Diceros bicornis minor: one gene and its partners. The protein of the gene in region 2 purifies or fractionates together with the protein of the main gene of each other region. This does not show direct contact. Links are inferred from orthologs where the notes say so. Each region holds a gene or a part of one and is shown on either strand. Other genes may lie near its edges. The genes, in order: NOC4L, KRR1, GNL2 and LARP7.

Evidence for each region.
Region 1: the proteins of KRR1 (region 2) and NOC4L purify together in Homo sapiens (co-immunoprecipitation; 3 studies listed by BioGRID and IntAct, with this or other methods). This does not show direct contact. The link is inferred for Diceros bicornis minor from reciprocal best matches to the Homo sapiens genes KRR1 and NOC4L.
Region 3: the proteins of KRR1 (region 2) and GNL2 purify together in Homo sapiens (affinity purification with mass spectrometry; 3 studies listed by BioGRID and IntAct, with this or other methods). This does not show direct contact. The link is inferred for Diceros bicornis minor from reciprocal best matches to the Homo sapiens genes KRR1 and GNL2.
Region 4: the proteins of KRR1 (region 2) and LARP7 purify together in Homo sapiens (affinity purification with mass spectrometry; 4 studies listed by BioGRID and IntAct, with this or other methods). This does not show direct contact. The link is inferred for Diceros bicornis minor from reciprocal best matches to the Homo sapiens genes KRR1 and LARP7.

What each region holds. Positions count from the first base shown.
Region 1 is NC_080774.1:948,558-955,492, reverse strand, and holds the start of NOC4L (nucleolar complex protein 4 homolog), read left to right. Parts: upstream 1-3,923; 5' UTR 3,924-3,951; coding exon 3,952-4,068; intron 4,069-4,366; coding exon 4,367-4,487; intron 4,488-5,010; coding exon 5,011-5,117; intron 5,118-5,443; coding exon 5,444-5,551; intron 5,552-5,813; coding exon 5,814-5,963; intron 5,964-6,048; coding exon 6,049-6,148; intron 6,149-6,261; coding exon 6,262-6,296; intron 6,297-6,775; coding exon 6,776-6,826; intron 6,827-6,902; coding exon 6,903-6,935. Other genes in the region: ATP-dependent RNA helicase DDX51, read right to left, coding at 27-143, 240-355, 434-632, 823-968, 1,053-1,161, 1,326-1,432, 1,528-1,599, 1,690-1,835 and 2 more.
Region 2 is NC_080764.1:43,844,312-43,851,452, forward strand, and holds the start of KRR1 (KRR1 small subunit processome component homolog), read left to right. Parts: upstream 1-4,137; 5' UTR 4,138-4,370; coding exon 4,371-4,455; intron 4,456-7,141. UniProt on the Homo sapiens protein: Part of the small subunit (SSU) processome, first precursor of the small eukaryotic ribosomal subunit.
Region 3 is NC_080752.1:51,627,546-51,635,348, reverse strand, and holds the start of GNL2 (nucleolar GTP-binding protein 2), read left to right. Parts: upstream 1-4,788; 5' UTR 4,789-4,903; coding exon 4,904-4,967; intron 4,968-6,657; coding exon 6,658-6,742; intron 6,743-7,714; coding exon 7,715-7,803. UniProt on the Homo sapiens protein: GTPase that associates with pre-60S ribosomal subunits in the nucleolus and is required for their nuclear export and maturation.
Region 4 is NC_080750.1:7,541,955-7,549,940, forward strand, and holds the start of LARP7 (la-related protein 7), read left to right. Parts: upstream 1-4,974; 5' UTR 4,975-5,369; coding exon 5,370-5,375; intron 5,376-7,986. Other genes in the region: protein ZGRF1, read right to left, coding at 365-385. UniProt on the Homo sapiens protein: RNA-binding protein that specifically binds distinct small nuclear RNA (snRNAs) and regulates their processing and function.

The DNA of each region.
Region 1 (6,935 bases), on a different chromosome or scaffold from region 2:
ACCAGGCCCACTCTCCAAGGACTCACAGCTGTATCTTCCCCTGCTCGAACTGCTTCAAGATCGTCTTCCTCTGGCCAGGCCCATAGCGGGAAGAGAACTCAGCCACGGTCACCCCACCGAAAGCCTGGACTAGCAGGAAGAGCCTGGGGGGAGACGCCAGAGCCAAGTGGGCCGGGGCCAGGACCGCCACTGCCTCTGCCTCAATGCCCCCTGCCCCGCCCCGGCCTGCCCGGCCTCACCTGTGGGAGTTCTCTCGGGAGTTGGTGAAGCAGAGGACTCTTGAGAAGCTCGTCTCCAGGAGGAGGTGCAGGACGGCCATTGGCTTGGAGCGGAGGCTGCAGGGCACGTAGTGGTGCTGTGGGGATGGCACGGGGTTGGCGGGCCCTTGAGCACCGGGGCGTGCCCCCTCCCTGTACCCGTGTGCCCCGCTTACCGTGAGCCCTGCAGGGAAGGTATACTTCCCACCCGAGTCCCCGTCCACCTCCGTGTCAGCATCTCTGGAACCCCCCTGTGCCAGCCCCGTGGAGAAGAGCCGGGGTTGGTGGAGGCCGAGCCGCTGCAGCTTCTCTGGGTTCTGGGTCAGAGTGGCCGAGAAAAGGAGCTTCTGTAGCGGCATCTGGGGCCAGCAGGTACTGAAAGAGGAGTGGGTGCTGGGAGAGCAGTTGAGGCCCGACCAGCCTGCCCTACCTAAGTCCCGGGAGGGTTTTCCTCAAGGCTGGGCGCCCCAGATCAGACCAGACCAGACCAGGAGGAGTGGGTCTCAGAGACTGGAGAGACCAAGGAAGGGAGCCCTGAGGGCAGAGCAAGCTTGGTGCCGGGTACCTGGCAGCAGTCACGGTCTGGGGCTGCCTTCTCTGGACCAGAGCAAAGGGGTCCTTGGCGCCCTCGCTCGGGAAGGCTGCTGCCACCACCCGTGGCAGCCAGGACTGGTGCATGCTGTCTATCATCCTGTCAGCTTCATCGATGACCTGCGGGAGACGGGAGGCCAGGGATCTGGTGGCTGAGGTCAGCCTCAGCTCAGGACTGCGCCTCCCTCAGGGCTGGCAACCTACCAGGAAGCGGAGGTGCTGGAGGCTGAATCCTGGGGTCTGGTCGATGTGGTCCACCAAGCGGCCAGGGGTGGCCACCACGATGTCAGCCATGCAGCGGAAGCCGTCCACTCTGTGGAGCAGAGAGCTGCCTAGCGGGGGCCCCCACACTGAGCCCCCCAGCGTGGGGAACCTGCGATGGCAGCGCGCTCTGCTCCCCCGGGGACCAGGTGGCTACAATGCAGCTGCCGCCTGCTCCTGCTGCACAAGCTAAGCCCACGGCCCAGCAGGACCTACGTCTTCTGGACAAGGCTTTCCTGCTCCTTGGCTAGTGACTTCTGCCCGGTGACCAGGGCGACCCGCAGAGAAGTGGCATCTGTGTAGATGTTGAACACCTTGCTGACCTGGAGGAGGAGCAGCCGTCACTGCACTGGCTTGAGGCCCCACACCACAGTGACAGGGACTCAGAGTCTGACTTCCAGGTGTGGGGTCCACCTACCTGCTGGGCCAGCTCCTTGGTGGGCAACACAACCAGGGCTCGGACCTGGCACACGGCTCGATGCAGCAGGGCCTGCAGAGGGAGAGATAGCCAGCTGCGTCAGCAGGGCCAGCTCCCTGCTGGTCAGGACCACTTGGAGGGTGGGAGGGTCCTTACACTCACCTGCACCACGGGGATGACGAAGGCCAGGGTCTTCCCACTGCCCGTCGGGGCAGAAACACAAAGATCGCTGGGTCGGTAGCCAGCTCTGCCCACCAGAAACCCATTGGCCGCGCTCTCCAGGAGAGCAGGGATCACTGCCGCCTGGACTGGACAAGGGAGAGCAAAAGGCAAGTCGTGTTTGTGCAGGGACACCCAGAACAAACACAGGTTTCACGGCTAGAAGCAGCCTTCCCCCATCTGTGATCTCTGGGCGGCGCTGCTCTCACTCCAGGGCGGCATCAGAGCCTCAAGGAGTGTCAGGCTCCGGTGGCCGAAGATGCCGAGACCAAGACCACACTTGATGGTGGGGGCATGCAGGGGCTGTTGGCCCTGGCAGCTGCTAAGCTATGGCCTTGTGTGACTCTGAGTGACGATGCTCTATGAGGAAGTCCCCTGTCCCAGGGCTGGGGCACCTGGAAAGTAGGATGAGATGCCATGTGCCCGCAACTTCTTCTGCAGGTCAGGGTGGACCTCAGGAATATCCTCGATAGGCACCAGGTCTTTGGTGACGTTCTTTCCAACACAACTTGGCTCAGCCAGCCACGCTGGCAGGAAAGGCTGGACCTATCACAAAGGGTGAGAAAGAGGCCAGGTGAATACTCGCTAAGCCTGCCTGGCTGGGGGAGCAAGGCTGCAGAAACCAAGGACTCAAGACACTAGGGCTGAGGGGCTGCAGGAAAGAGGCCCCAACGAACCATCTAACTAGTCTCCCAGCTCTTCCTTGATCCCTCACTACCCACTTTCCACGCAGACTTTACAGTAATTAAGAGACACCAGAAGGTGCCAGTCTCCGGAAAACGCTCCCTGGGGGTGTCCCCTCTCACCCACAACAACATCCAGCCTCTGAGTCGCAAGGCAAGGCCCCCTGTGAACTGGCACTCACCTGCCCCTGACCTCCTTTCCTATCACTGGACGTCCCCTAGCTATACATACCTCTGTTCTTACACAGTAAGCTCATTGTTGCCCGAGGGCCTTTGCCCCAACCCTGCCCTCTGCGTGGCACAAACCTCCCACCCCCATCTTAACCAGACTGATTCCTGTCTTCTGATCACAATTCGAAGTGGACCTCCACACGTGCCCTGATATGACGGTGCCCCTGCGCACCCTGCCAAACCTCTCTTCCTCACGGTAATCGTCGTCCTCCAAGAACTCTTGGTTCACCGACTTGTTTACTGAAAACCTCCCTCACTAAAACAGAGACCTGGCCAGTCCAGCAACCTAGTGGAATCTTCTGTTTTGTTCCCTAGGTTCGTGAGAGCACAGCAGAAGTTCAAGGGTGTACCCCAAACGACCAAAGCTGTTTACAAAGACCTCTTTGACAGCAGCACAGAAACCAACTTGATAATGTTGATTTAGACAATAAAAAAATAATACTTTTACAACTAAAACTAAACATACTGAGTTGGTGCAGAATTCAAACCATCAAAATAAACACGGCAGAATAAACAGCCGACGTGCCGCGCGTTAACCTGTGAAGTTACTCAAGGAACACTGACGGCCGCCAGGCGCAGGCACCACCCTCCGAGCGACCCCACACACAGGCGTGCATTAGCCACAGCGGCCCGCGCCCCTGCAGCCTCCCGCCCCCGCGCCGCTCACCTTGGGCGCCCTGCTCCTCTCGAAGCCCCCGAGCAGCAGGGCGTGGGCCGGGGGCCCAGAGGCCTCCGCGGGGGGCCGTCCGTCCTGGTCCTCCGGCGGCCCCGCGGCCTCGGCGCCCTCGCCGCTGTCCCCCGGCGCCTCCTCGCCGCTCCCTGCGCGGCAGAAGCGGGGCGGGCGGCGCGTCAGCCCCACGCGGACCCGGCTCCAGGGCCGCGCCGCGCCCGCCCCGCCGGGCCCACCTGCGCTCGCGGCCGCGCCGTCCGCTCTCCGCCGCTTGCTCCCCGGCGCCCCGCCGCCCTCGCGCCTCCGCGGTCTGCGCGGTCGCCGCCGCCGCTTCCCCGCCGCCCCCGCGGGCTGCGCGGCCTCCGCGGGCTCCTGCTGCCGCTGCCGCTCCCGGGCCCGGCACTGCAGCCGCTCCAGCAGCGCGCGCGCCCGGCCGTCCGCCCCGGCCTCCGCCCCGGCCGCCTCGGGGCCCGCGTACCGCGCGACGTGGAAGAGCGCCATGCCGGCCGCACGCCGCCCCGGCCCCGCGCGGCGCGATGACGCGGAGGCGCCGGGCGGTGACGTCAGAGGCGCGCCGGGCGGCGGCGCGGCGGCCCCGTGTCTTCCGCGTGGGGCGGCGGCATGGCGCGGGACCCCGGCCCCGCGGGCGCGCGCCGGGCGCTGGGCCGCCTGCTGGAGGCGGTGCTGGCGAGCCGCGGCGAGGCCAACGCCGTGTTCGACATCCTGGCCGTGCTGCAGGTGGGACCGCGGGGGCGGCGGGGTCGCGGCCGCGGTCCCGGGGCCGGAGGCCAGACCGGGGCCCCCCTCCGGCTCGGGTGCGGGCAGACAGTCGCAGAGCGGCTTCGGACTCTGCCTGGGGCCTTGCCCAGTCTCGCAGGCCTCCCTGATTGGAGGGTCCAGCGGGAGGGTTGGCAGAGGCGGGGTCGGGGTCACGCCAGGGTCACGGGTGAGGTGCGGTGGGGCTGGAGTCCGGCGGGGACAGGGGCAGGGGCCACGGTTCCCGGCGGGGCACCCTGCGACCGGCCTCTCCCCGCAGTCCGAGGACCAGGAGGAGATCCAGGAAGCCGTGCGCGCGTGCAGCCGCCTCTTCGGGGCCTTGCTGGAGCGGGGAGAGCTGTTTGTGGGCCAGCTGCCCCCTGAGGAGACGGTCATGGCAGGTGAGCGTCCGGAGGGCCCTGGGCCTCCTGTCACGAGGTTGGAGGGAACCTTGCCAGCATGAGGTGAGCCCCCCAAACCCCATCATCACAGAGCGTCCAGGTTGGTGAGAGGACACCCCAAGCCCGCGGGAAGTGGGAGCGGGTGATTCTGCTGGGGGTGGGTGGGTGGTGAAGGTTGGTGACTTTATAACTAAGCTTAGAGAAGGTTGAGCAAGGCGTGATTCTTTGTGTGTGTTTTGTGCCGTTTGTGGGATTTGATGCTGTTTAACATGAGTTGTGATCCTGTGTAAAGTTGGGGCTACATGTTGTGGTTCTTGGGCGTCCAGATCTTGGGGTAAAATGAGGAGGTGGGGACCCGGCCCTTGTAGGAGTGGCTCTCCCTGGTTGGGGGAATGGGTCTCGGTGGTCTGTCTGCACTCACTTCCCTGGTTGGGTAGAGGAGCGGACAGCGGGAGGGTGGGGCTGGGCCCAGCCTGGTGTGTGTGGGCATCCCTGTGGGCTGACCACCCTGCCCCTCCTGCAGGGTCTCAGGGGGCCACGCGGAAGTACAAGGTGTGGATGAGGCACCGTTACCACAGCTGCTGCAACCGCCTGGGGGAGCTCCTGGCCCACCCTTCCTTTCAGGTCAAGGTGAGTCTTGGGGTCGCTGGCCTTGCCCGTCCTTGTGCGTCCTCCGCACCCCCAGCCCCCAGACTCTCCGCACACGGCAGCAACCGGGGGCTGTGGCTGCAGGCACGAGTCTTCCCCCGTTTACCTGTCTGGGCAGGGAAGCTTTTTTCTTCTTTTTCTTGATTAGGATTTTGGTGGGTGGTGTTGTCGTGTTTCCTGAGTCTTACAGGGGTGACGTCTCATGGGCATTTAGGCCTGAATGCCGGGGGCAGCTCTGTGGGCTTTCTGCAGCGGAGATGACGTGTGGTTGGGGTCACCGCAGCCACTTCACCACCCGCTCTTCCCAGGAGCTGGCTCTCGGAACGCTCATGAAGTTTGTGCAGCTGGAAGGAGCACACCCCCTGGAGAAGCCCAAGTGGGAAGGGAACTATCTGTTCCCCCGCCAGCTCTTCAAGGTGAGGGGGTGCTGGGCTCCCCACAGGCCTTAGCTGCTAGAGCTGGAATGGGTCTCTGGCACAGGTGGCTGTTGTACGTGGTGCTTCCTCCCCTGTGGGAGGCAGGGAGGCTACCGCCTCAGGGGTCTCCTGGGGCAGTCCACTGGTTGTGGGGTTCAGCAGGGACCCTGGCAGCCCGCCTGGACTCTGCTCGGTGAGTCCCATCCCTGGGCTGCCCCATCCTGAGGGGTGGGAGAGGCTCACCTCCCGGTCTTGCACCCAGTTGGTGGTGGAAGGCCTGCTTTCACCCGAGGAGGACCGCTCGCTGCTCCTCTCCCAGTTCCAGGAGTATCTGGAACACGACGACATCCGCTACCACACGATGCAGGCGGCCTCAGACACCGTGGCCCAGGTCGCCACTGGGCACCCTGAGGTGAGCTGGCTGGGTCCCATCTCTGGGTGTGGGCAGTGGACGGTGGGTGTGCGGCGTCTAGGTGTTCACACCGCACCTCCGGCAGGTGCCCCTTGTTTTCTGGAACAATGCCTTCACGCTGCTGTCTGCCGTGAGCCTGCCCCGCCAGGAGAGTGACATTTCCAACTTCTACGTGGGGCACACGGGTGAGCACTTGGGGCAGGTGGGCCAGCAGGGGCGCCTGAGCCTCACACACTGGCACCCTGACGAGCCCCTGCTCCCGTCCTGTGTGTCAAATGACCTCTCACCTTCCTTGCAGAGCTGTCGGACAAGTGGAAGGTCGTTCATCTGAAGGTGAGATGCTCTGGAGGGCGGGGGCCTCCCTGGGAACAGGCCGATTCTGGGGTGCCATCAACCCCCCGGACGTAGGCAGCCTGTGTGGGACACGAGGAGTGGGGCAGCTGCTTTCTTCCCAGTTTAGATACCCACCAGGGCCACTCGTGAGGCCCCAAGGGGAGGAGGAGGCCAGCAGGCACCCTGTTCCCAGAGGTCAGAGGTGGCCCGCCCGGACCCCTCAGGAGGGGTCGGTGCTCAGTGTCAGTGCCCAGGTGGCTGTGAATGCAGCGCCTGCCTACTCTTCTGTGGCTGCGAGAGATGCAGAGGAGCTGGCCGGGATGCCTCAGGTTCCGGCTATTTCTACCCACACATGGCAGGAGGGGGGTGGGGCAGTGTCTGGAACAGGGGGGTGGGGACACGTGGTGTTCCCCATCTCGGGGTGGTGGCTAGAGTGGGGGTTGGGGCAGCGTGTGCAGCCTCCATCCCCCTCCCCACAGGAGCACAGGAGAGCCTTCCAGCTGATGTGGCTCGGTTTCCTCAAACACGAGGTAGGCCTGGGACAGGGCCCCGTGTGGTTGTGGGGGTGGGTGTCGGCTGCAACCTGACCCGCCCCGCCCCTCCCAGCTGCCCCTCAGCCTCTGCAAGAAGGTGCTGGTG
Region 2 (7,141 bases):
TCTCCCCTACAGTCTCTTCCTAGATTCCCAGATTTCCTAGACTTTCATGCAGAACACTTCATTTTTATTGACATTATTTTTCTAAAGATAGGTTAATAACATGATTAGTTTACAGCTAGGCTGCTTTACTGTGCTTTTCCCTTCTCAACTGTTACCCCTAGATCCTTTTTAATATGTAATCTTATGGAGTTAGAACAGGCCTTATTTTACAGCCATAGTTGTTATTAGCGTTACTGATGTTGATAGAGATATGTTGATTGAAGATTTCACACCTTGCTGTGAGGTCAATTGGAATAGAAAGTAGCTTATGTATGTTAGAAAATAAAAACGTGTCAATCCTATGTATTTGAGAAAACTTGTCTTGATTGCTTATTTAAAAAAAAATTAGCAGAAGAAAACCCACATAGATTACTGTGCAAAAATCATTTTTATCCCTGTTAAATGAGTGCAGAAATGTTAAACGGAAAATAAATCACACTTATTTGCCCAGTTTTCCTACTCTTTTTAATAAGAGATAAATGCACTCTTCATCCCCCAACATTGTTAAGCCACATTCTGACTTCTCTGCCCACTACCCTCTGGGTTAATTTTGTGGGAATTAAGGTCTCTAATTCCAAAGGAGAGTTGTGAGGCCAACTTGCTTTTCACGGGAAAATGAATAAGCAGGGTAAGAGCTGGTGGAACTCGTCATCTGTAGGAGGATGGCTGCATGTGGGTCTAGATTGTTTATGAGGCCAAGGAAGGGAGAAGTCACAAGCAAAATGGGTCTGCCTGCTGTTGCTGTGACACAGAGAGGACTTTCCCAGCCCAGGTTTGTGACAAGAAACTCCTTAGTTTTTTCTTTCCCTTTTTAGTGTTACTTGTACAATTTCTGAAAATAACCTTGCAGATCTGAGTACATATTTATATTCAGATTTCCAAGGATGTTAAAATAAAATGATGTAAATTGTGATTGATTTACAATTGTATTGTTATTTAAATTGCCATCCTTTGTAACGTCTCTATACTGAGAAGTAACATGGTCAACATTTTGGTGACCATCATTTCATAGACTTCCCTGTGCACACTCAAACAGACAGTGTGATATAAACAGGGTCATGTGCACGCTTGTTTTTATCATGGATACCTATTTTTTTAACTCTTTTTGCCTACTTCATTTTTCTTTTCTAATTGCCTTCATCCCTAAGGTAGCCAGCCTTATAAGCTTGATATGTATCCTTCCAAATCTTTCCCATTGTACAGTCACATGTAAACAAATATATTCATATACATATATAGGCACACATATACACACACATATAATTATTATTATGTCCAGCACATAAAAAAGAACCAAGTATTTAGAACAGTGCCTGAAACATTACAGATGCTCAATAACTATTTATTGCATGAATGAATGGTTTGCTTTATAAAAATGAGATAATTAATATATAATTATTATATAAAAATATAAAAATGAGATATATATATAATTATATATAAAAATGTATAGAATTATTATCCCATCTTTCTGTATCTGGCTTTTATCACTCAATGCTTCTAGTTCATCTCTTCCATATAGATTTAATTAATTCTTATGAATGGCTATGTAATAGCTCACAGTTATGAAGGTAACATCAATTTATTTAACTATATCCCAAATTGATAGTCAAGATGCTTTTACATTTTTGCCACCATAAATAAATAACAGCTAACACTCACTGAGTGAGTACTGTTACCACACAAAGGGCACGATCTGCTCGCCGCAAGACAAAAGCCAATCATCACGAGGCAAGATGGTGGCAGAGAAAGGGCAGTTTATTACAGCTTGCTAGCAAGGGGGAACATGGCCGACTAATGTCTGAAAGAACCATCTCCCAGAACAAAGACTACAGGCCAGTTATATAGAGGGCTGGTCTCCGGGTGGGGGAGGCATCTGATCTCCAGGTGGAGGCATCTGGTCTCTGGGTAGGGACACCCATCTGGTCTCCGGGTGGGGGCAACCATCTGGTTTTAGTTCCTGGCAGTCTTTGTTTTACTGGATATGCATCAGAGACCAGAGCAAAGCCCTCTACCCTGATCTTTCAGTTGTCCTTGATGATGGCTATCAGCATAGACTCTCTGCCCAGGGGTCATCACATTCCTAAGGAACTCAAGAGAACAAAGTTATCAACTTGTAGCAGCTGGGAGGGGCCATAAAATCCGCAGAGTTAGTCAGAGGTCATTCAAAGTTACAATATTGTTTCTTTTCTACAATATGGCTTCCCTTATGTGGATCTTGTGTTGAGCTGGTATCAGTACAACCTGCAAAGTATTTTTTTTTTTAGCATTTTCCATGTATAAAGTCACTGAGGTAAAGTTTATCTCCCCATCGTAGGAAATTGAACAGGGGTGGTAAGAAATTTGCCCAAGGCTATATAGCCACTAAGTGGCAAACCAGTCAGTGTGGCTCCAAAGCACCTTTCACTGAATCACTTCTATACAAGGCAGTAATCAACACAGTTGTACACACATTCTAATGGAATGATGCTTTATTTCTAGTTGACAGTTTCCCAGGAGTGGAATTACTGTGGAAGAATATGTGTATATTTTATATTGATAGATTGTTTGCAAAGAGGCAGTAACAGTTTACATTTCCACCAGCAGTGTATGACAGTGCCCTTTCCTCCAGTAGATTATCATTTAAAAAAATTTTTTTATTATTTCTTTTTTGCCAATCTGGTGGGTGAGAAGTGATATTTCCTTGTTACGTCTATATGCTTTTTTGACCATAGTAAGGTTGAGCAGCATATGTTCATCAACCATTTGGATTTACTCTTACAAATTGCTGTATTAGTCAAGATTCTCCACAAACTTATAGATTAGTAATTATAGATTCCTGGCAAGTCCAAAATCTACAGGGTGGCCCAACAGGCTGGAGACCCAGGGGAGAGCTGATGCTGTAATTCAAGTCCAAAAGCTGTGAGGCTGAAAACCCAGCCTTCCTTCTGACACATTTGCAACAATTAATCCTTTAGTATAGTAGCCTTTCTGGAGGTGCTAATGGTCAGACTGCCTGGACTCGAAGTCTAGCTCACCACTTATAAGCGACTGAGTTCCTTAAAATAAGGATAATACAACCCTGCTTCATAGAGTTTCTGGGAACATTAAAGGAATTGCTTCTCACTTTTTAACTTTCACCTGTTGTTATTTGTTCACTATACGGATCTGTCATTGCTTTTTGAGCAAACTGTAAGACTATAGGAATGGAATCACTGACTGTCGTTTTTAAGACACAGGATAAAAGCAAAGATCTTAACATAATCATGTGTCTTGGGATCTTCTGTTCCCAAGTAACAGTCTGTTTTATACATGTACCTCATATACGGAAATCTAAATTTTTATAGAAGATACATAGGGTGGATTTCAGATAAACGTTCCTCCTTTCACTAACACAAGGAATTCAACCTATCAAAGACTTTCCCTAGTTGTGCTGCAGGAAATTTTAGAAAAGTCAAGCAATAAGACCAATCATCAAAAGAAGTCCTATCTTTACCATGTGTAAGAACTTTTAGATTCCTAGAAGTGTAAACACTTGTAGCAGTGATGAATTTCACACCTTGAAGTCAGCCATATGCAGTGCTGGGGTAGACAGGAGTTTGTCATTTCGGAAAATCTTAGGCTAGGTGAAACACTTCAGGAGTGTCGCTTAATTACTACCTCTCCGGCGGAGACAGCTAAATATCAAGACCCAAGAAAACTACCATCAGAAACAAGGATTTGAAAACTTACCCTCCAAAAAATTATCAATTTTGGAGAGATTTGTTTTAACTTTATTTTGTTCTAAGGATTAGAAATGCAAATAAAGTGCCAGGCACAAACAAATGGTAGTTATTACCGTCACTTCTTGCTGTCGAGAACCATATATTCTCATACTTGTACCTCTTCCCAACTCCTAAGACTTACCTGATGATTATATAAGATATTTATCGAATGAACGAATAAGTGACATTATATCGAATGAACGAATAAGTGACATTAATGACGATAGCATTAGGTGCCCTAACCCTGAAGTCCGACGTCCCGGGTTAGACACTGGGGCCACGAGAAAACTACAAATCCGACAGCCCTCAATGTTCCCACAGTGCGGAACTACAATTCCCAGCATGCAGTCAAACTCCGCAGTTGCAGCGCGGAAAAGAACCCCGGAAACGAACTCTCCGGCTCTCCACGGGCCACGCACGAGAAGCGCTGCACTGAGCAACTCCGCGGGCTCAGGCGTACGCACGAACGGAGACTGCGCACATCTCCTCGTCTGAGTTCTGCGGAACTCATTTTGAGTAGAGGGATTTTTAAGTCCGGTAGGATTTAAGAACCGTGTCACTTCCGGTAACACCGGAAGCAATTTGAAGATGGCGTCCTCCTCACTGAACGGCCCAGCCACGGCGGCTGGGAAAAGTGAGTCTCGAACCCAGAAGCCGAAGCCGGAGAACCGAGGTGGGGGTGTGTGGGAAGCGAAGCCTGGGGTTTGGGTGTGGAGGCGCGATTGTGTCTTTGGCTGGCCGGGGACGCGTACGCCGCCTGAGTCCGCTCTGGGAAGTGGAGGGCCACAGTTGCTGACGGTTGGGGGTGGCGGCCGGGTCTGGCCGGTGTGGTCCGGCCACGTGTTCCTGACTAATTGCTTGTCCTCGGGTGTTCTGTGAACCGGTGAGGACGGGGACCGCGCGCGGGGGCGGCGGCTGGCGTGGCCGAGCTGAGGGACGCGGGAGGAGCTCGGTGTGTCCGGGAGCGCCGGCCCCGAGGGCGTGGGACAGGCGCGGGGATGCGGGGCGGACACGGCCGCGTGGCCTGACCCGGCGTGTCGGTTAGTGGAGGTGTGGAAGCGTTTCCGTTATTCCTGTCCGTCAGACGACACGGCTCCTGCTCCTGAGGCTGCCCCACTTTTAAGTTGACGTGTCGCTGTGGCGTCTGGTTTTGTCTGTTTTCTTCCGAGTGAATGACAGGAAGAGGCTGGAGACAGGGCCCCGGGCCTGAGCAGCCAGTCCTACTGAAGGGTTAAAAGCCTGACCTCGCTCTCTGCAGGCGTTAGGGAGGTGCTGACGGGGCGGCGTCGTTCGTGGTGGAGCGTTCACGGCAGCGCAGTATACGCACCGCGCAGGCGTCAACCCGCACGTGAGCAGGGCCCGCGCCGTCCAGCGGAAGAGAGCGTCCCTGCGCCCGCGAGCCCCGCAGCCTCTCCGTGGGGTTCTCCCCCTCCGGCACGTCAGTCACCCTCTGAATCGTCTTGATCGCTCTCTTCTCCATCATCTTTACTACCTATGCGCAAGATGCTTTAATTTTGCCTGCTTTTGAATTTTATATAAATGAACGAGGACTGTAGGCATTTTTCTGTTTCTTGCTTTTTTTTTTTTTATTGATATTTTAATGGTTTCTAACGTGAAATTTTGGGTTGTACATTTTTGTTTGTCCATCACCCCATATATGACTCCCTTCACCCCTTGTGCCCACCCCCCACCCCCACTTCCCGGGTAACCACAGTCCAGTTTTCTCTGTCCATGTGTTGGTTTATATTCCACATATGAGTGAGATCATACAGTGTTTGTCTTTCTCTTTCTGGCTTATTTCACTTAACATAATACGCTCCAGGCCCATCCATGTTGTTGCAAATGGGACGATTTTATCTTTTTTTATGGCTGAGTAGTATTCCATTGTATATATATACCACATTTTCTTAATCCAATCGTCAGTCGAGGGACACTTAGGTTGCTTCTACTTCTTGGCTATGGTGAATAATGCTGCAATGAACATAGGGGTGCATAAGCCTCTTTGGATTGTTGATTTCAGGTGCGTTGGATAGATTCCCAGTAGTGGGATGGCTGGATCATAGGGCATCTCTATTTTTAATTCTTTGAGGAATCTCCATACCGTTTTCCATAGAGGCTGCACCAATTTGCATTCCCACCAGCTGTGTATGAGGGTTCCTGTTTCTCCACATCCTTTCCAACATTTGTTGTTTTTTGTCTTGGTGATTATAGCCATTCTAACGGGCGTGAGGTGGTATCTTAGTGTTGTTTTGATTTGCATTTCCCTGATGATTAGTGATGTTGAGCATCTTTTCATGTGCCTATTGGCCATCTGTATATCTTCCTTGGAGAAGTGTCCATTTCCTCTGCCCATTTTTTGATCGGGTTGTTTGTTTTTTTGTTGTTCAATTGTGTGAGTTCTTTATATATTATGGAGATCAACCCCTTGTCAGATGTATGTTTTGCAAATATTCTCTCCCAGCTGGTTGGTTGTTTGTTCATCTTGATTCTGGTTTCATTTGTCTTATAAAAGCTCTTTAGTCTGATAAAGTCCCACTTGTTTATTTTTTCTTTAGTTTCCCTAGTCTGGGTAGGCATGTCATCCGAAAAGATTCCTTTAAACCCAATGTCAAATAGTGTGTTGCCTATATTTTCTTCTATGAGTTTTATAGTTTCAGGTCTCACCTTCAGGTCTTTGATCCATTTTGAGTTAATTTTTGTGAATGGCAATAGCACATGGTCCACTTTCATTCTTTTGCATGTGGCTGTCCAGTTTTCCCAACACCATTTATTGAAGAGACTTTCCTTTCTCCATTGCATGTCCTTAGCACCTTTGTCGAAAATTAGCTGTCCGTATATGTGCGGTTTTATTTCTGGGCTTTCAATTCTGTTCCATTGATCTGTGTGTCTGTTTTTGTACCAGTACCATGCTGTTTTGATTACTATTGCTTTGTAGTATGTTTTGAAGTCAGGAATTGTGATGCCTCCTGCTTTGTTCTTTTTCTTTAGGATTTCTTTAGCTATTCGGGGTCTTTTGTTGCCCCATATAAATTTTAGTATTCTTTTTTCTATTTCTGTGAAGAATGTCATTGGGATTCTGATTGGGATTGCATTGAATCTGTAGATTGCTTTAGGTAATATAGACATTTTAACTATGTTTATTCTTCCAATCCACGTGCATGGGATATCTTTCCATTTCTTTATGTCATCGTAGATTTCCCTCAATAATGTCTTGTAGTTCTCATTGTATAGGTCCTTCACCTCCTTGGTAAGATTTATTCCTAGGTATTTTATTCTTTTTGATGCAATTGTAAATGGTATTATCTTTTTGAGCTCTCTTTCTGTTAGTTCATTATTAGCATATAGAAATGCAACTGATT
Region 3 (7,803 bases), on a different chromosome or scaffold from region 2:
GGAAACACACTGATCCTGGGGAGATGACTTAATATGGGCCCTCCAGCCTTCTTGGAGCTTAAACAATTATCTACGATTTGGAGTTACACTTCAAATTCCCACATCGGTGTGTGTTCTGGATCCATTTCTCAGGATGCAGCCAGCAATCTTGAGTTATCTAAACCAGGCTGAAAATTAGAGGCCGTTAACAGCATCTCATAAAATTGCTTCTCAGATTTTCTTAAGCAGAATTTGCTGAGGACCACAGGGATTCAGTAATAGGAAGGAGCAAAATGCTGCTAGTTATTTTTCCAAAGCTTAATCTAGGGATCTTTTTGAAGAGCTCCTTACCCAGCAATGAGATGAATGCCAAGACCAATACAGACTATGTTTTTCCCACTTAGAAGTGGTGACCAGATACATTATCCATGAAGAAGTTTCTTGGGGTTCCCAGATGTGAGTCTCTTAGCCACTTTTCATAGCTACCCAGCCTACTATCTTGCTATATCCTTGTCCAAAAAATTCCCAGGCATCCTAGACTGAAAACTAGACTGAGGGCAATTTGGCCAATGAAGCTCCAATTTAATACATCTTATTTTCTTATATTCCCCTGTAAACTTTTGAGGTTGTATGACCAAGGACTCTCTCTTTTTGTTTTCTACAAACAAAATTAAAAAACAAAACCCTGAAAACATATTCTGAGTACTTCTCTGTTCTCCTAGGATCCCAGAGCCTCTGCTTGGGGGCTAGTAACTGTTTCACATTGAGCAACAGCCACTCCAGGGGCCCAACTCTTGGCCCCAGCAGGCAGGGGTCAATGCATTGTGAATTTGCCAGAGGATAGACACAGGAGACTGAATAGAGAAGCCTCTGCTCTCTCAGTTCAACAGGGAAGGATAAATCAACAAGCTGGCACTAATTAAGAGCTAATGGCCTTACAATGGAGTGTTGCCAAAGGATAACGACCCTCCGGCTGCAGCATAAATATCAAGGCATTTGGGGTAGAGCCAAGACATATATTTTCAGAGTGCATAAGACGCTGCTGCAGCCTTCCTCACCCTGGCTCTGCTGAGAAAAAAGAGAGGATTTAAGACAGGTGGAGAAGGAGCTAGGTCTTATTAGGGCTGCCTTCTGGTCAGCTGGTCAGAAAGCCTGAGGATGACTTTTGGGAAAGACTTTGCTTTTCAGAAGATCTCAAACTTTTGTGTATACAAGAATCACTTGAGGAGCCGGTTAGAATGTATATTCTTTGGGCCCCACCTCCGGAAGGTCTGATTTAGGTAACTCTGGGGTGAAGCCCAAGAGCCTGCATTTTTAACCAATTCCCCCAACTGATTCTGATGCTGGGGGTCCTCAGAGCACACTTTGAAAACTGCTACTTTAGAAGCTGCTTCTACTTGCCCATTAGATCCCAATGAAGAAGTTTTTACAGAATGAAGCGAAGTCAAGATTCTCTTCTCCCTGTGAAAACACCAGTCCATTCTTTCCTTTTAGAACTTGGCACAAGGCTGTTTCAGAAAGGTGGCATTTTGAAGCCGACCCGGTGGCATAGCGGTTAAGTTCACACGTTCTGCTTCGGCGGCCTGGGGTTTGCCAGTTCGGATCCTGTGCGCAGACCTACTCACCGCTCCTCAAGCCATGCTGAGGCGGCGTCCCACATAGAAGAGCTACAACTCTTCAACTATGATACACAACTATGTACTGGGGCTTTGGGCAGAAAAAAGAAAAAGAGAAAGATTGGCAACAGATGTTAGCGTAGGGCCAATCTTCCTCAAAAAAAAGAAAGAAAGAAACGTGGCATTTCGAGCCAATTCCTGTTGGGGTCTTCCCATTCACACAAACCTGTGGTTACGAGGAGCAAGGTTCCAGGGAATGAGGAGCTAACCATAAGTCTGGAGGAAAACAGAAAGCATCCCATCTACATGGGGTGTACCATTTCTGCTATGCTTTCTTACAGCATAATTCATATGATCACGCTGCAATCTTTCAGCGTAGTTAAATTAATATATCTCTTCTAAAGCTGAGGAATCATAGGCCTGGAGGTGTGTCTTGCTTCCTCTGGTCACCACATCAGGAAGGAGAGTGAAAAATCTATTACAGGGCTGGCCCCGTGGCTTAGTGGTTAAGTGCGCGCGCTCCGCTGCTGGTGGCCCGGGTTTGGATCCCGGGCGCGCACACATGCACCGCTTCTCCGGCCATGCTGAGGCCACGTCCCACATGCAGCAACTGGAAGGATGTGCAGCTGTGACACACAACTATCTACTGGGGCTTTGGGGGAAATAGATAAATTTTAAAAAAAATTTTAAAAAAAACCTATTACAATTATGGTCAGCAGGGCAAGCAAACCAAATCAGTAACTTGAGTTTGACCTACCTTGATCAGGCTTATTATCAGCTGGTAGAACTGAGGTTGGTTGTCGGGATCAGCCATACTGTTGTAAAAGGATTGATGGGATTGATGGCTCAGATTATAAAAATAGACGGAAAGTTCATATGATAAACGCAAGCTGAGTATGAGAACAGGAGAGAAACAACGCACCATATCATCTGGGAAAATGAAACTCCTTGGCAAGACTTCACAACAGCCTGATTCAAAATTTCATAATGAAATTATGTCTCTGATCAAAGCCTGAATGAGCTCATGGGCTGATTTTTGCCATTCGTGTTTATTCTGGTTTGAACCAAACTGAGGCATCAGAAACACATTATCTTAGTTTTTTCTCCGGGAGTGGGCCATTGCATCCTCCTTTGGGGGACCAAAGGGACAGTGTGAGGCAGAAGGGGGCATCTTTGGATCCTCAGTGGGCATGAAGTTGTTTCTGACCAGCTTTCAGAGACTCCCTCAGACACCGTGTTAGGTTCAGAGCCTTTCTAGCAAAATCGTGTTAAATTTCACGATACTTGCCCTTGGGGCAATAAAAGTCAATCTCAAGGGAGAGAAGGTATTTCCCCCTGTTGTCTAGGACATGGCCTGCTTTTGCTCTAGAAAGAATGTTTTTCGGTTTGTTTGTTTCAGACTCAGAAAAATAAAGACTCAGTCATCCCCCCACAATTAGAGTTCCTCACTTTATACTAAGTTGTTTGTTTTTACGGAATGGGCTACACCACAGGCTGGAATCCACCTTCTTCCTGCCTAACCACCTCTTCTCTGGACTTAGGCACAGTGATGGGCATTTCCTGACAACTTGAGGTGCCAAAAAAACAGAGAGGGCTTCTTGGTTGAAACACTGGCATCTAGAGAGTTTATTTTGACTAACAGAAACAGAAATTTCTGGGTCTTACACCCTTGTTTCCCCCTCAAGGCAAGAAGCATTCCCATCTGCTATTGATTACATGTTTGTGTTCCCCTAAAATTCATATGTTGAAGCTTTACTCCCAATGTGATAATATTTGGAGATGGGGCCTTTGAGAGGTAATGAGGTTTACATGAGGTCATGAGGGTGGGGCCCCCAGCATGGGATTAGTGACTTTATAAGAAGAGGAAGAGACCAGAGTCCTCCTTCCTCTCTCTGACATATGAGGACACAGTGAGAAGACGGCTGTCTGCAAGGCAAGAAGAGAGTTCTCACGAGGAACCCAACTGTGTGGGCACCCTGACCTCGGACTTCCCAGCCTCCAGAACTGTGAGAAATAAATCTTTGTTATTTAAGCCACCCAGTCTACGGTATTTTGTTATAGCAGGCAGAGCTGAGACACCATCTATTCATCATTCATTCAATGAATATTTATTGAGTCCTTACTATCTATGTGTCAAGTGCTGTTCTAAGTCTTGAAGATACAGCAGTGAACAAACTTACAAGGTCCCTGCTCTCAAAAAGCTTATATTCCAGTTTTGGGGAAGCAGCTGATGAACTCGTAAATAACAAATTTCAGCTAGTGATAAATGCCATGAAGTAAATAAAACAGAATAATGTAACAGCATAACTGCAGAAGGATGGGAGATGGCTGATTTAGACAGATTAGACAAGAAAGACTTCTCCCAGTAGGCAGAGTTGCCAGATAAAATATAGGATGCCCAGTTAAATTTCAATTTCAGATAAACAATGAATAATTTTTAGTATAACTATGTCCCAAGCAACATTTGGGACATACTTATACTCAAAAAAATTTCATTGTTTATCTGAAATTCAAATTTACCTGGGAGTCCTGTATTTTTGCTAAATCTTGCAACCCTACCAGTAGGTGACATCTGAACTGAGAACTGAACCACCAGAAGGAAGTAGCTATGCCAAGAATCAGGGAAAGAGTGATTCAGGCAGAGGGAACATCCAGTGTAAATCTCGGAATAACCAGAGGGAGGGAGGTACAAATGAAGTCAGATAAATAGCACGGGCCAGATCATGCAGAATTCTGTAGGGATGGCAAGGAGTTTGAGTTTCTTTCTCTCTGTCTCTGTCTCTCTTTTACTCTGAGTGATGATAAATTATTGGAGTTTTAATAAGGGTGCCAAGATCTGATTGATTTGGCTGCTGTGTGGTCAGCCACTTTTGGAAAGACTTAGAGGATAAATTCATTAGATAATTAAACTTAAGCTTGTGCCATTGGCCTGGGAAGAGGTTTCTGTGTTTGGGGCGGACCGAAGTAGGAGCTCTGTGCCGAGCGTCCAGGGTGACTAGGCGGTTGCTATGGAGGGGCAGCGTGGCGGTTGCTAGGGAGAGAGGAGGGCGGGGGCTCGACGCAGGGCGACGTCTAAGCGGCCGGGGCGGGGGCGGAGCCAGGAGTGCGGCGGCGCGCGGCGCGCGTTCGCAGGAAGTCGCGCGGGGGCAGGAGGGGGCGCGAGCGGAAGTGACGTAGCACTTGCACACGTGGTCCAGCGTGCTTCACGCCGGTCGCTGTGGCTGGGCCTGGGGCGTTACGAGGTTTTTTTACCTTTTTTACCGTACGTAGGTCGGACCTAGCACTCGGGTCCCCGTCGCGGCGGCAAGATGGTGAAGCCCAAGTACAAAGGACGGAGCACCATCAACCCGTCGAAGGCCAGCACAAACCCCGGTACAGGCGGCGGGGCTCGCGGAGGGTGGAGCTTGGAGGAAGCTTGCGGGGAGGGCTCCGAGGAGACCGAGGGGGAGGAGGGACACCCGGGTGGCATGGCTTGGAGTGACCTCAAGCAGAGTGGCTGTTGGGGATGGGAAGGGAGAAGATGGTTTCTTCATTCGGAGGCACTGAGGAGGGCCGACATCTTGCACGCCTGTCAGGGCTGGGTGCCAGGCACCGAGTCTGAAGTCGGAGAGAGGGAACGCTCAGGCCTGGCAGCCTTGGGGCGTCTCCACTTGTGAGATGCAGAGACTGGGAAGCTCTGAGTTGGAAGGGGCAGTTAAACTTGACCTCTTCTTTTGTTCCTGTGTGGGTCGTGTTGAAGCCCCTCCCCCAATATATGTCAGTCTCGTATGATTCCAGCTCTCCAGCTCAAGGCTTGCTAGAAGTGAATTAGATCAAGTTGGATTAAAAGTGGTGTAGGCCGACGCAGCTGGCTTTTTACACTTGACCACACTTGCTGCCACCTTAGCTTTGACAATTTAAGTGAGAAAGGGATTGTTAATTTGGCTCTTGGAGTCATCCCATCGGGTCAAGTGTGTGGAAAACCCTACAGATAAATAAATAAGATCATTTCACTGAAGATGTTTTTGGAGATGTTTATGAGTTTTGTTGAGGTTCCACCTACAGGTTGAACAAGGTGGCCTTTGGGGGAGTCCCTTCCATTTGGGTTTAGTTAATAAAATTTTGTTTTTAAATATGGTTTCAATTTTTTATGGCTTTAATTCATGTTGAGTGTTTTCCCTGGATTGCTGATAAATTACTCAATTTGTGTAGACTGGAATCTTAGAATGTTAGACCCGAAAAGGTCCTTAGAGATCTTGATGTCAAAGGTGAAGAGACTAAGCCAAAATAGGGGAAGTGGCTTGTCACAGTTGGCATGGTTAGTCAGTAATAGAGCCATCAGTCCGGTGATCGCAGCCTCTTTTCTATGACATCACTGTAAGAGTAGACAGGTGGTTTGAAGGGATCCCCACATGAGGCTGGTTTTACGACACTTGTCCTTCTCTTTCTCTCTGAGATGTAAGACAAGAATTACTACCTATTTTGCTGTTGATTAAACTAAAATCAAACATTCGGAAATTAAGAAACTAGTACATTAGAAACACTTAGGTATCAAGATTGTAGTCTCCAGGGTGCCTTGCATGTAGCAGGCACTCAAAATTTGTTAAAGTGAGATCCAGAGGTGGATGTCTTTGTGGTTCAGAGCACAGGTGGTGATCAAATGCTGTTGTTCACATTCTGGCTTGCCATTTGTGACTTTGGGCAAGATGTCTGGCCACTATGCCTCAGTTTCTTAGCCTGCAGAATGGGGATAATGTATCCCTCTTTATAGGATTATTGTATGGATTACATGGGATGAGACCTATAATGTGGATAGCACAGTGCTGTAGTTAGTGCTCAAAAATATTAGCTCTTATCATTATCAAACACAGTCTTATTGAGGATCAAAGGTTAGATCAGCTTTGTCATACCATGTAGCTTCCAGTAATAATTTTTTTGGAGCAACATATGGAGGAAGTAGAGATTTTGCAGTGAGGTGGCGGCTTGCTTACTTTGAGTGAACTAGTTGGTGTGTTTGAAGCAACGACCGTACTTAGACTTGTTGGTTATCAAATGGTGTGCAATCTACTTCTGGGTTCCCTAGATCGAGTACAGGGAGCAGGAGGCCAAAACATGAGGGACCGGGCCACCATCCGGCGCCTGAATATGTACAGGCAGAAGGAGCGCAGGTGAGTACTGGGTGCTGGCATCCTCCCCCCTCTGCTTCAAGCCCTTGACTGAATAGCTGAGGCCTATTAAACCTATGATATTCCCACTCCCACTTTCCCCAAATACGAGTAGTGTATTTTCAAGTATCATTTTATATGGGTGTTATTATGATAAATTGTGAATTCTTGGTTAAAGACATGAGTAGTGGGTGGAGAAATTGTGATTGTGTCACAATACAGCAATTAGAGGTCTTGTTCCTTACAGCCTCAGCCTCCACGAATGGCATATTAAATCTCAAGTTAGGTATCCGTCAGATGGAAATCTGGTTTTCTTTAGTGAAGCATATAGGACTGTAGTCATGAAAGCAGCGAGAGAACTTGTTTTTTAATGCCAGACTTTAGATCACAACATTGTGGCACTTGGAAACTCACCACCAATCTGCGTTCTGCTGAGGCAGCCTCTACCACGGGGACTTGCTGAGTGTGGCATTTTTCTAGCTGGTCTTAATTTGTTTGGTAATTAGATTCTCCATCCGTTCTAAAAGATGTGTCTAAAACACAAATGTCAATGAACTTAATCTGCCTTAGTCACCTGCTCTGCAGTTTGTTTCAGAATTTTGAGTTCCAGCACAAATCACCCTCTACTTAAAATTCATTTAAACCAGCCTTCAAATAATTACCCAAAAAACTCACGTATGTGATTTTTTTTTAAAGCTAACAAACAGTAAACAGATTTTTAAACATCAGCTTTATTTGTTATTCATCCAGCAGAAATCGTTACGTGCTCTGTTGCAAGAGGTTAAATGGCTTTTGGGCAATCTGTTTCAAATGTAGAAGTACTTTTTGTTTACTGAAATCTGTATTTCATGATCCTTTAAAACCAAAAAAAGGAAAAAAAAATCCTTTTGATGGAAAGGGTATTCTGTAAACCAGACTTTGCTGTTGTTGCCTTTCTTCTGTCGTCAACCAAAATCTGTCATTTCCTCCATTTAGGAACAGTCGTGGTAAAGTGATTAAGCCTCTGCAATATCAATCAACAGTGGCTTCTGGCACAGTGGCGAGAGTGGAGCCAAACATTAAAT
Region 4 (7,986 bases), on a different chromosome or scaffold from region 2:
AGAGAGAAGAGGCATGCCAGTTTTTCAAGAGAAAGAAATTATTTCCTGATCCCAAGCTTCCAAAGAATTTGTGCCAAAAGACTTTGTATAACAAAAGCAAATAGTAGGCAAGAGATACGGTTGCCAGATAAAATACAGGGCAATATTTGAGACAGATATACTTAAACTAAAAATTATTCACTGTTTATCTGAAACTCAAATTTAACTGAGTGTCCTACTTTTAGGTTTCAGGTGTTTTTTTTATTTTGTTTTGTTCTGTTTTGTTTTTGGCTAAATCTGGCAACCCTAGCAAGACATTTATGAAATGCGGAAAGAAGGAAGGAAGGAAGAAAAGAGGAAATAAGCAAAAACTGGAAAGACTTACAATAAATTCTCGGCTCTCCATTGTTTCTTCTGAACTTATAAACCAGTCAGGTCCAGAAAATAATCAGTAGTTATTCAACTATTTATGCTACCTAAAATGAAAAATGACAAGGACTATTCAACCCCTACGAAAAGAATAAATATCAAATACAATTTTTCCCCACAAACTTTTTTTTTTCCGTAAGGAAGAGTCGCCCTAAGCTAACATCTATTGCCAATCTTCCTCTTTTCACGTGAGGAAGATGCACCCTGAACTAACATCTATGCCAGTCCTCCTCTATTTTGTATGTGGGTAGCTGCCACAGAATGGCCGCTGACAAGCGGTATAGGTCCGCACCCAGGAACCAAACCCGGACCACTGAAGAGAGTGGCACTGAACTTAACCACTAGGACACGGGGCCAGCCCCCCCCAACAAACTCTTGACCAGAGAGAGGAATCTAAGAGTTCCAAGTTCCATGTAACCAAGGGAAACAGAGGTATAATGAAATTATCTGCCCCCGAGGACATATGAAAAGAGTGACACCACACTGTGGAAAAAGAATTTGCTAGGTAGAGAAAACCAAGTAAAATATACAAAATAATTAGCACTCGCAAGCATTTTTCCAAGTGCCATAATATATATCAGAAAATATGATTCCCCCTCCCCTCCATGTTTGGTTCCTTATAGAAAGAGCTTCAATTTTTAAAGTTTTTTGAATTGCTATGGCCACCACAAGATGGCCCCCTTGCGTTTTAAATTTTTCCTTTTACATCTTAGAGTCAATATACCACAGTATCTAGGACCAAATATACATTATAATACTTCCGCAAGGAAAAATCTCTTCAACATCGTTGCCATGAGTACTGTAGTTATCCTATGCCATTGGATAAAATTGTTATTGTGGGGGCCGCCACCGTGGCTTAGCGGTTAAGAGTGTGCTCTGCTACTGGCGGCCCAGGTTCGGATCCCCGGCGGGCACCAACGCACTGCTTCTCCGGCCATGCTGAGGCCGCATCCCACATACAGCAACTAGAAGGATGTGCAACTATGACATACAACTACCTACTGGGGCTTTGGGGAATAAAAAAAAAGGAGGAGGATTGGCAATAGATGTTAACTCAGAGCCGGTCTTCCTCAGCAAAAAGAGGAGGATTAGCATGGATGTTAGCTCAGGGCTGATCTTCCTCACACACACAAAAAAAATTGTTATTGTGGGCAATTTTGGAAATCTAAAATCACTGATGGTGACTTGAAGAAGTAAACAGAAATACCAAAGGAAATTATTACTTTATCCCTAAAGAAGTGGTTCCAAAGGTATGATCCCTGCACCAACAGCATCAGCATCACCTGGGAACTAGTTAGAAATTCAAATTCTTGGGTCCCACCCCTGACCTATTAAATCAGGGCTAGTAGTCTGTTTTAACAAGCCTTGTAGGTGACAGGGATACACGCTCGAGTTTGAGAAGATGGCCCTAAAAGACCTGGGGGATTCAATAAAGCTATAATTTGCAGTTCTGGATTCAATTTCTCCTTGATACATATAAAATATATAAAATAGGCTACCTACATATTATATATAAATTACAAATATTTATTTAGTACTTACTATGTGCCAGACATTGTGCTAGGCTGAAATACTAAAATGAACGAAATATTATCCCTAATCTCAAGGAATTTTCAGTATAGCAGGGTGATAAACAGTAATTACAATAAAATATGACAGGAATAAGCACAGGAGGGGCACCCAACTCGGTCTAGGGCATTCCTGAAGGATGTAATGTTTGAGCTGGACACTGAAATAACCATTAACCAAGGGAAGATGCCAGGGAATTATTTCCAAATATGAGTCAATATGTACAAAGGCCTGTGGAAGACAGAGCAAGGCGTGATCAAGAAACTCTCAGTAGTACGGCTAAGAGGTTGAGTGTAACGTAGTGAGACAGGAGACTGAAAAAGTGAGCAATAACAGGATTCAGAGGGCCTTCTATGTTAGGCTGAGTTGTCTGGACTTTCTACAAAGACAGTAGGAAGCCACGGCAAGATGTTAAGAATGAGATTACATTATCTGACTTGGGGTTTTACAAAGATTGCTCCAGCTGCTGTGTGGAGAAAGGATGGGGTAAGAAGTAGGCAAATGAGATATGAATTAATGCCCCACAACATAGTTCACAGGACAGGACCCAGACCTACAGAGGCACTGCCTTTCAGAAATATAACTCCCATATCCTATATCCCTCCCCTCCAGCCCACAGAAATTGTCAGACGCCTAATGAATGCCAAGAAGATAACAGAGAGGTCCAGAGAAACACACCATTCACTGCTGCTTTTAAAGCAACTTGCTCCCAGCCACTGAACGGGTTGGACATCCTATGTATGTAGATGAGACTACATGGTGTAGACACAGTGCTGGGCATGTGGCAGTTATTAATCTTAGATCCCTTTAACAATAGCTATCATTTATTCTGTGCAATTATATGCTAGACAGTGTTAAAATGCTGCAAACGCTCACAACCTTATGGTATAGATACTATTTTTCATATTCATTTTACAAAGAAGAAAACTAAGGCACGTAATAGGTAAGTAAGTTGCCCAAGATCATAAAGTAAACAAATGGAAGATTCAGAATTCAAAACTAAGCAGCCTAAACTCTGATGCTCATACTCACAAATAGTACATTATACGACAATTTATTGAGTACCTACTATGTCAGGCAGGAATTGGGACTAGATACTTCACATATAATATTCATCAGTCTCATAATCCTGAAGAGTAGATATTATCACCACAATTTACAGATTAGGAATCCAGTATTTATTAGTTTAGAATTACTTATATGCTACTTAGGAATTGCAAAATAAATTCCCCATTGTTTTCCTAAATTAGAGATATTACTTGTGGGATTTACTTAAAAGGAACTGAGAAGGTCCAAACTCTCATAAATGGTAAATTAGATTATAGGATTAAACCTCAAAAAAAAAAAAAAAGGTTAGCTGGATTTAGAAGAGCCCTAATTTCCACTTTCAAAGGAAAGTCAACACTCCTTTCTTACAACTAAACAGGAAAAATGGTTTTAGCCAACAGCATCATATATTTAAGTGAGGTGCAAGGATAAAACATTTTCTGAAAGTCTTCATCTGTCCACATCTGTCAAACAATTCAAGTACTGACCCATCTCTGCAGGGTGAGTTTAGTGCCCAAAGAAGTTTTTAAAGTGGTGTGGAGATGCTCTGTGGCAATGATATAAGTACAGACATACATAAATGCCTACACACACATATATACACATACATTATTATGCTGCTTTATACATTTATATATAAAATTCGGTGCTTTCACTAAACTAGGAGCCATTCTTCCTGTTACGTATGACGAGATGTTTTTGGTCCTTTTGTTTTGGAACAAGCAGGATCTCTCGAATCCCAAAATGGTTCACAGATTTAAAAGCTGCAGAGGCACGGACCCAACACCGTGTTAGAAAACCATTCAGTCCAAATAACCAAAGAAGAAGCCCACACTTCATCTGCCAAGATTCTAACTACCAGGATCCTGTGTAACCAAATGACAGTGAAGACTTGACCCTTTGTCAGTCCTGAAAACAAGGAGCAAAACCCTCTCTGGTCCTCACCCGTACGCGGGAACGGCAGAGCAGGGGCTGGGAAGAGCCGTGAGGACGCGGAACCAGCTATGACAGGGAGTCCGACCAAGCCGTGACTGTCACCACCCAATCCTGGCTCCACACAGCACCCTCCGGTCCGCTTCCGGCCGAGCAGATTCTCTGGTCCCCTCGCCCCAAATCAGCTTCGCCGCCTGTCGCTCAAATCCCGGCGCCTACCCACCCTCACGCCCCGGAAACCCCGGGAATCAGTTCACTTCACCGTCCATTGCACGAAATCCACTTTCGAATTTTTCCCGCGAAAGGCTGTGACGTCATTAGCCCGGGACCGCACCAGACCAGGACCCCATACTTAGCCCGCCCACCAGAGCCCTCGTCAGAACCGCCGTTCTCAAACCGCCAATCAAATTCTTCCCTAGCTGCGAGCCTCCTTGGGCGGGCGCGTTCTGCGATGCCCCGCCCCCCGAGGCAGCCCACGCCTGTGACGTAAGAGACGGCGCGCCGCCCCTGGGCCCGTCTTCTGCGACGGGAAGCGGAGAACGGTGTCGCTCCTCTTATGACGCAGAGACGACCAGGACCGTAAGGATCGGGAGACGGAAAGAGCTCAAGGACGCAGTCTCTGGCCCTGTATTTTGGGGGCTGAACGGAGTAAGTTCAAGTGGGCCATAGGGTTGCCCAGGTCGGGTGAGGTCTAAATTCCCCTCAGTCCTTTTTCATGCAGTCCATTCTATCCTCTGTAGGCCCTCTCACCCCGCCCCCTCCAACTCACCCGTCAGTTGGCGTGCCCTGGTTCTCTGTGCGCACGCGCAGAAGGCCTCTGGCAGCCCTTGTAGTTCCAGTTGTCAGCGATTGGGGGCGCGCGTTGTCCGGCGCTGGAAGTTTGGGGTCCGCCCCGCCCTGGCGGCGTCCGTGCGGAGGGACGGGTGCTGAGAGGGGCAGAAGTCAAAATGGAAGTAGCCTTGCTTCGCAGCTTTGCCGCTTGGTGGCCAAAGAATAGCGAATGTGAGGACTTGTGTTTTAAAATGAAATCATTTCCTTCTTCAGGACTCTAGTGTTTGTCAGCAAAGAGTTGAAAGTCCAGTTGTGGAAGGGAGCTAACAAATAAGTGCTAAATACGGTGTACGGAGTGCGTCAATAGCCGTGCTTCAGGGAAGCGGATGAGGAGGCGGTTAATCGGGGGAGATGCGGTGGAAGGCTCCGGAGAGGAAGAGGCCGTGAGCCGGGGCCTTGAGATTGAGTGGGGTTTATAAGGCAAGGCAGACAGGAGTCGTTCAGAGCAAACGCACAGAGGGGCGAAAGCGTTCGGGTACCTTTGCATAGGTGGCTGTGACTGGAGCAGTGGTTCTTAACCTTCTTGGCACACCATTTCTTTTAAAAACGTGATAAAAGCTGTGGCTGAGCCTCCCCGGAAAATGCTGGTACATGTCAAAACATTTTGCATATAATTTTGTTAGGAAAAATTGTGAAAGACTTTGAAATGGCCAAGAAAAAAAACTACTGGGTGTCTTGGGTAGCTCCCTCTTCCAGGTTATCTCTGCCTGTCGTTGTCATTGAGTTATTTCACAATTGTGTCAGTTGTAGCCAACGATAATAATGGAAATTAGTCTTGCAGTTATTTTTGCCATTGTTGCCCTGACCGGTTGTGCGTTTATTAACAAATTCATTTCGCCGTTCCTGATAGCTTATATTTGTGTGTCTGGTTTTTTAATTCTCCTGTGAACTGATTTTTAACACTTAGCTAGTTCCCTAATGAATTACTTAAATAAGATTTTTGACATGTATTCATTTTATATTTATACAATAGTCGTGATTTTACTTTTCCTTTAAAATTTATCTTTTAACAATTTCATGGGATTCACAAGAATTCTTGAAACCCACCCAAAATTCCATGGACTTCAGGTTAAGAATTCCTGAGTCAGAACATAGAATGCGTGGTGACAGTTTGCAAGAGGTTCTACCGAAAGGTAGGCAACGTGGGAGTCACACATACCTGAGCTTCCTTACCCAGCCAGCTTTGCTCAAGTCACTTAACCTTTGACCCTCTATAAAAAGAAGTTGGAAGAAACAACCTAGTGGGCTTGTGAGGATTTCAAGCAAGGTATATAAAGTGACTGACATTGTTACACAGTAACTTGTTTTCTGTGTTTAAAAGCTCTGTTTAGAAGCTAGTTAGACTTCACTGGTTCATTTAACAGTTTTTTAAAAATACATATTATGTTACAAGAAGGGGCTGGGAATGTTTAGTGTTGAAAGTTTTGACATCACAGTCGCAAAATTAAATCTGTCTTGTAGACAAGTTGCACAGCTTTTGTGAAGGATGGAGGACTTCTAGAATAGTTTATAAACTGTTCTAAACTGACTGGTAAATGATAAAATGATAATAATGGTTACATAAATATTTTTTAAGATTGCAAATTGCTGATATGTGTTATGCACACTAGGTAAGAGTTTCTGAAGTTACTTCCCCAAGCCACAAAAATAATCCCTAGGAGAAGGAATGAAGGAGAATCTCTGGACTGAGATATGAGAATCCTGGGAGTAGTCTGGTTTCTAGGAGAACTGTGCTGTTCTGTGCTTATGCAGGTCTGTCCGCTACTTCTTTAGGTGGTATTTTCTGACAAGGAAAAGAATTGGAGAGCTGGTAGTCTGCCGTTTATAATCTGGTGTTTTCAGAAGGGAAAGTTAGCAGTGGACCCTGCTGTAGTGATAATCGTAGGCCACATTTGTATTTTGTTTATAATTCTACCCTCTTACAAAAGAACTTGAAATGCTTAACACTTTATAGTTTATAAGATCCTTTTAAATACATTATTTATTTAATTCACCAAATGCCTGGGTCGTGACAAGCTAAAGTTCCTGTCCTCATAGTGTTTACTTTCTAGTGAAGTAGACAGACAGTAAAACTGTAATTCTGGGTAATGATGAGAGAATACAAGGATAGAAAGTGGTGACTGGAGGAGTGGGTAGGGGTAAGGTTGGCAGGGAGGAAATATTTTAGGTTGGGTAGAAAAGAAAGGCTCGTAGAGAAAATGACATTTTCAAAGACCTGAATGAACAAGAACATAATCCCTATAGATGCTGCAGGAAAGGTAAAGACAGTGGCGAGAGCAAAGGCCTGGAGATGGGAAGGCCTTAGCGTGTTTTAAGGAACAGAAAGATGGGGCGTTGTAGTTGGAGTGCTCGTGCCGGAAAGAATTTTAAGAGATGAAGTTAGGGAGATATCCCGAGGCCAGATTGAATAGGGCCTAGTAGCCCACAGTAAGAATTTTATTCTGAGGGTGCTAAGAAACCTTTGAAGGATTTTGTGCAAGAGATTGCCATGTTCTGATTTACATATTTAAATTATTATTCTGGCTGCTATCTGGAGAAATGATAATGGAACAAGAGTATAAACTAGTATACATGAGGATGCTCTTGCAGTAGTTCGGGCAAGACACAGAGCTCGGACCAGGTGGTTGTGATGGAAGAAATGAGAAGTATTCCTATTCAAGATATGTTGTATAAAGTCAGAGCTCATAGAAATGCTAATGAATTGGCTGTAGGGTGTGAGGAAAAGAAGAATTAAGGAGGATTTCAAGGTTTTTGCCCTCTCGGCAATTTTTTAATTGGTATTTTCGCAGATCAGGAAAACTAGGCAAAAAAAGGTCTGTTAAAATTTGAGAGTTTAATGTTTGCCATTTTAAACTTGAGATTTACTTTAGGTGAACAAATGGAGCTGTCAAATGGACAGTCGAATATTGGAATGGGGAGCTACTGAGAGAAGTCGGGGCTGGAGAACGTAGATGGGTGACACATCAGCGTGGAGCCGAGGAGCTGAAAGCCAGGGACCCTCAGCAAGGATGGGTGTGTCGATAAGAAGGGCGCCCAGGGCTGAATGCAATCCTAGGCAGCATGTGAAGGTAGAGCAGAGTAGGAGGGTCCCGAAAAAGAAATTGAGAAGGAGGAAAACTCTCCTGGAAGCCAGGTGAAGAAAAATGTTTTCCAGGAAGGAGTTATCAACTGCAGATGCTGCTGAGAGGTCAAGCAGCT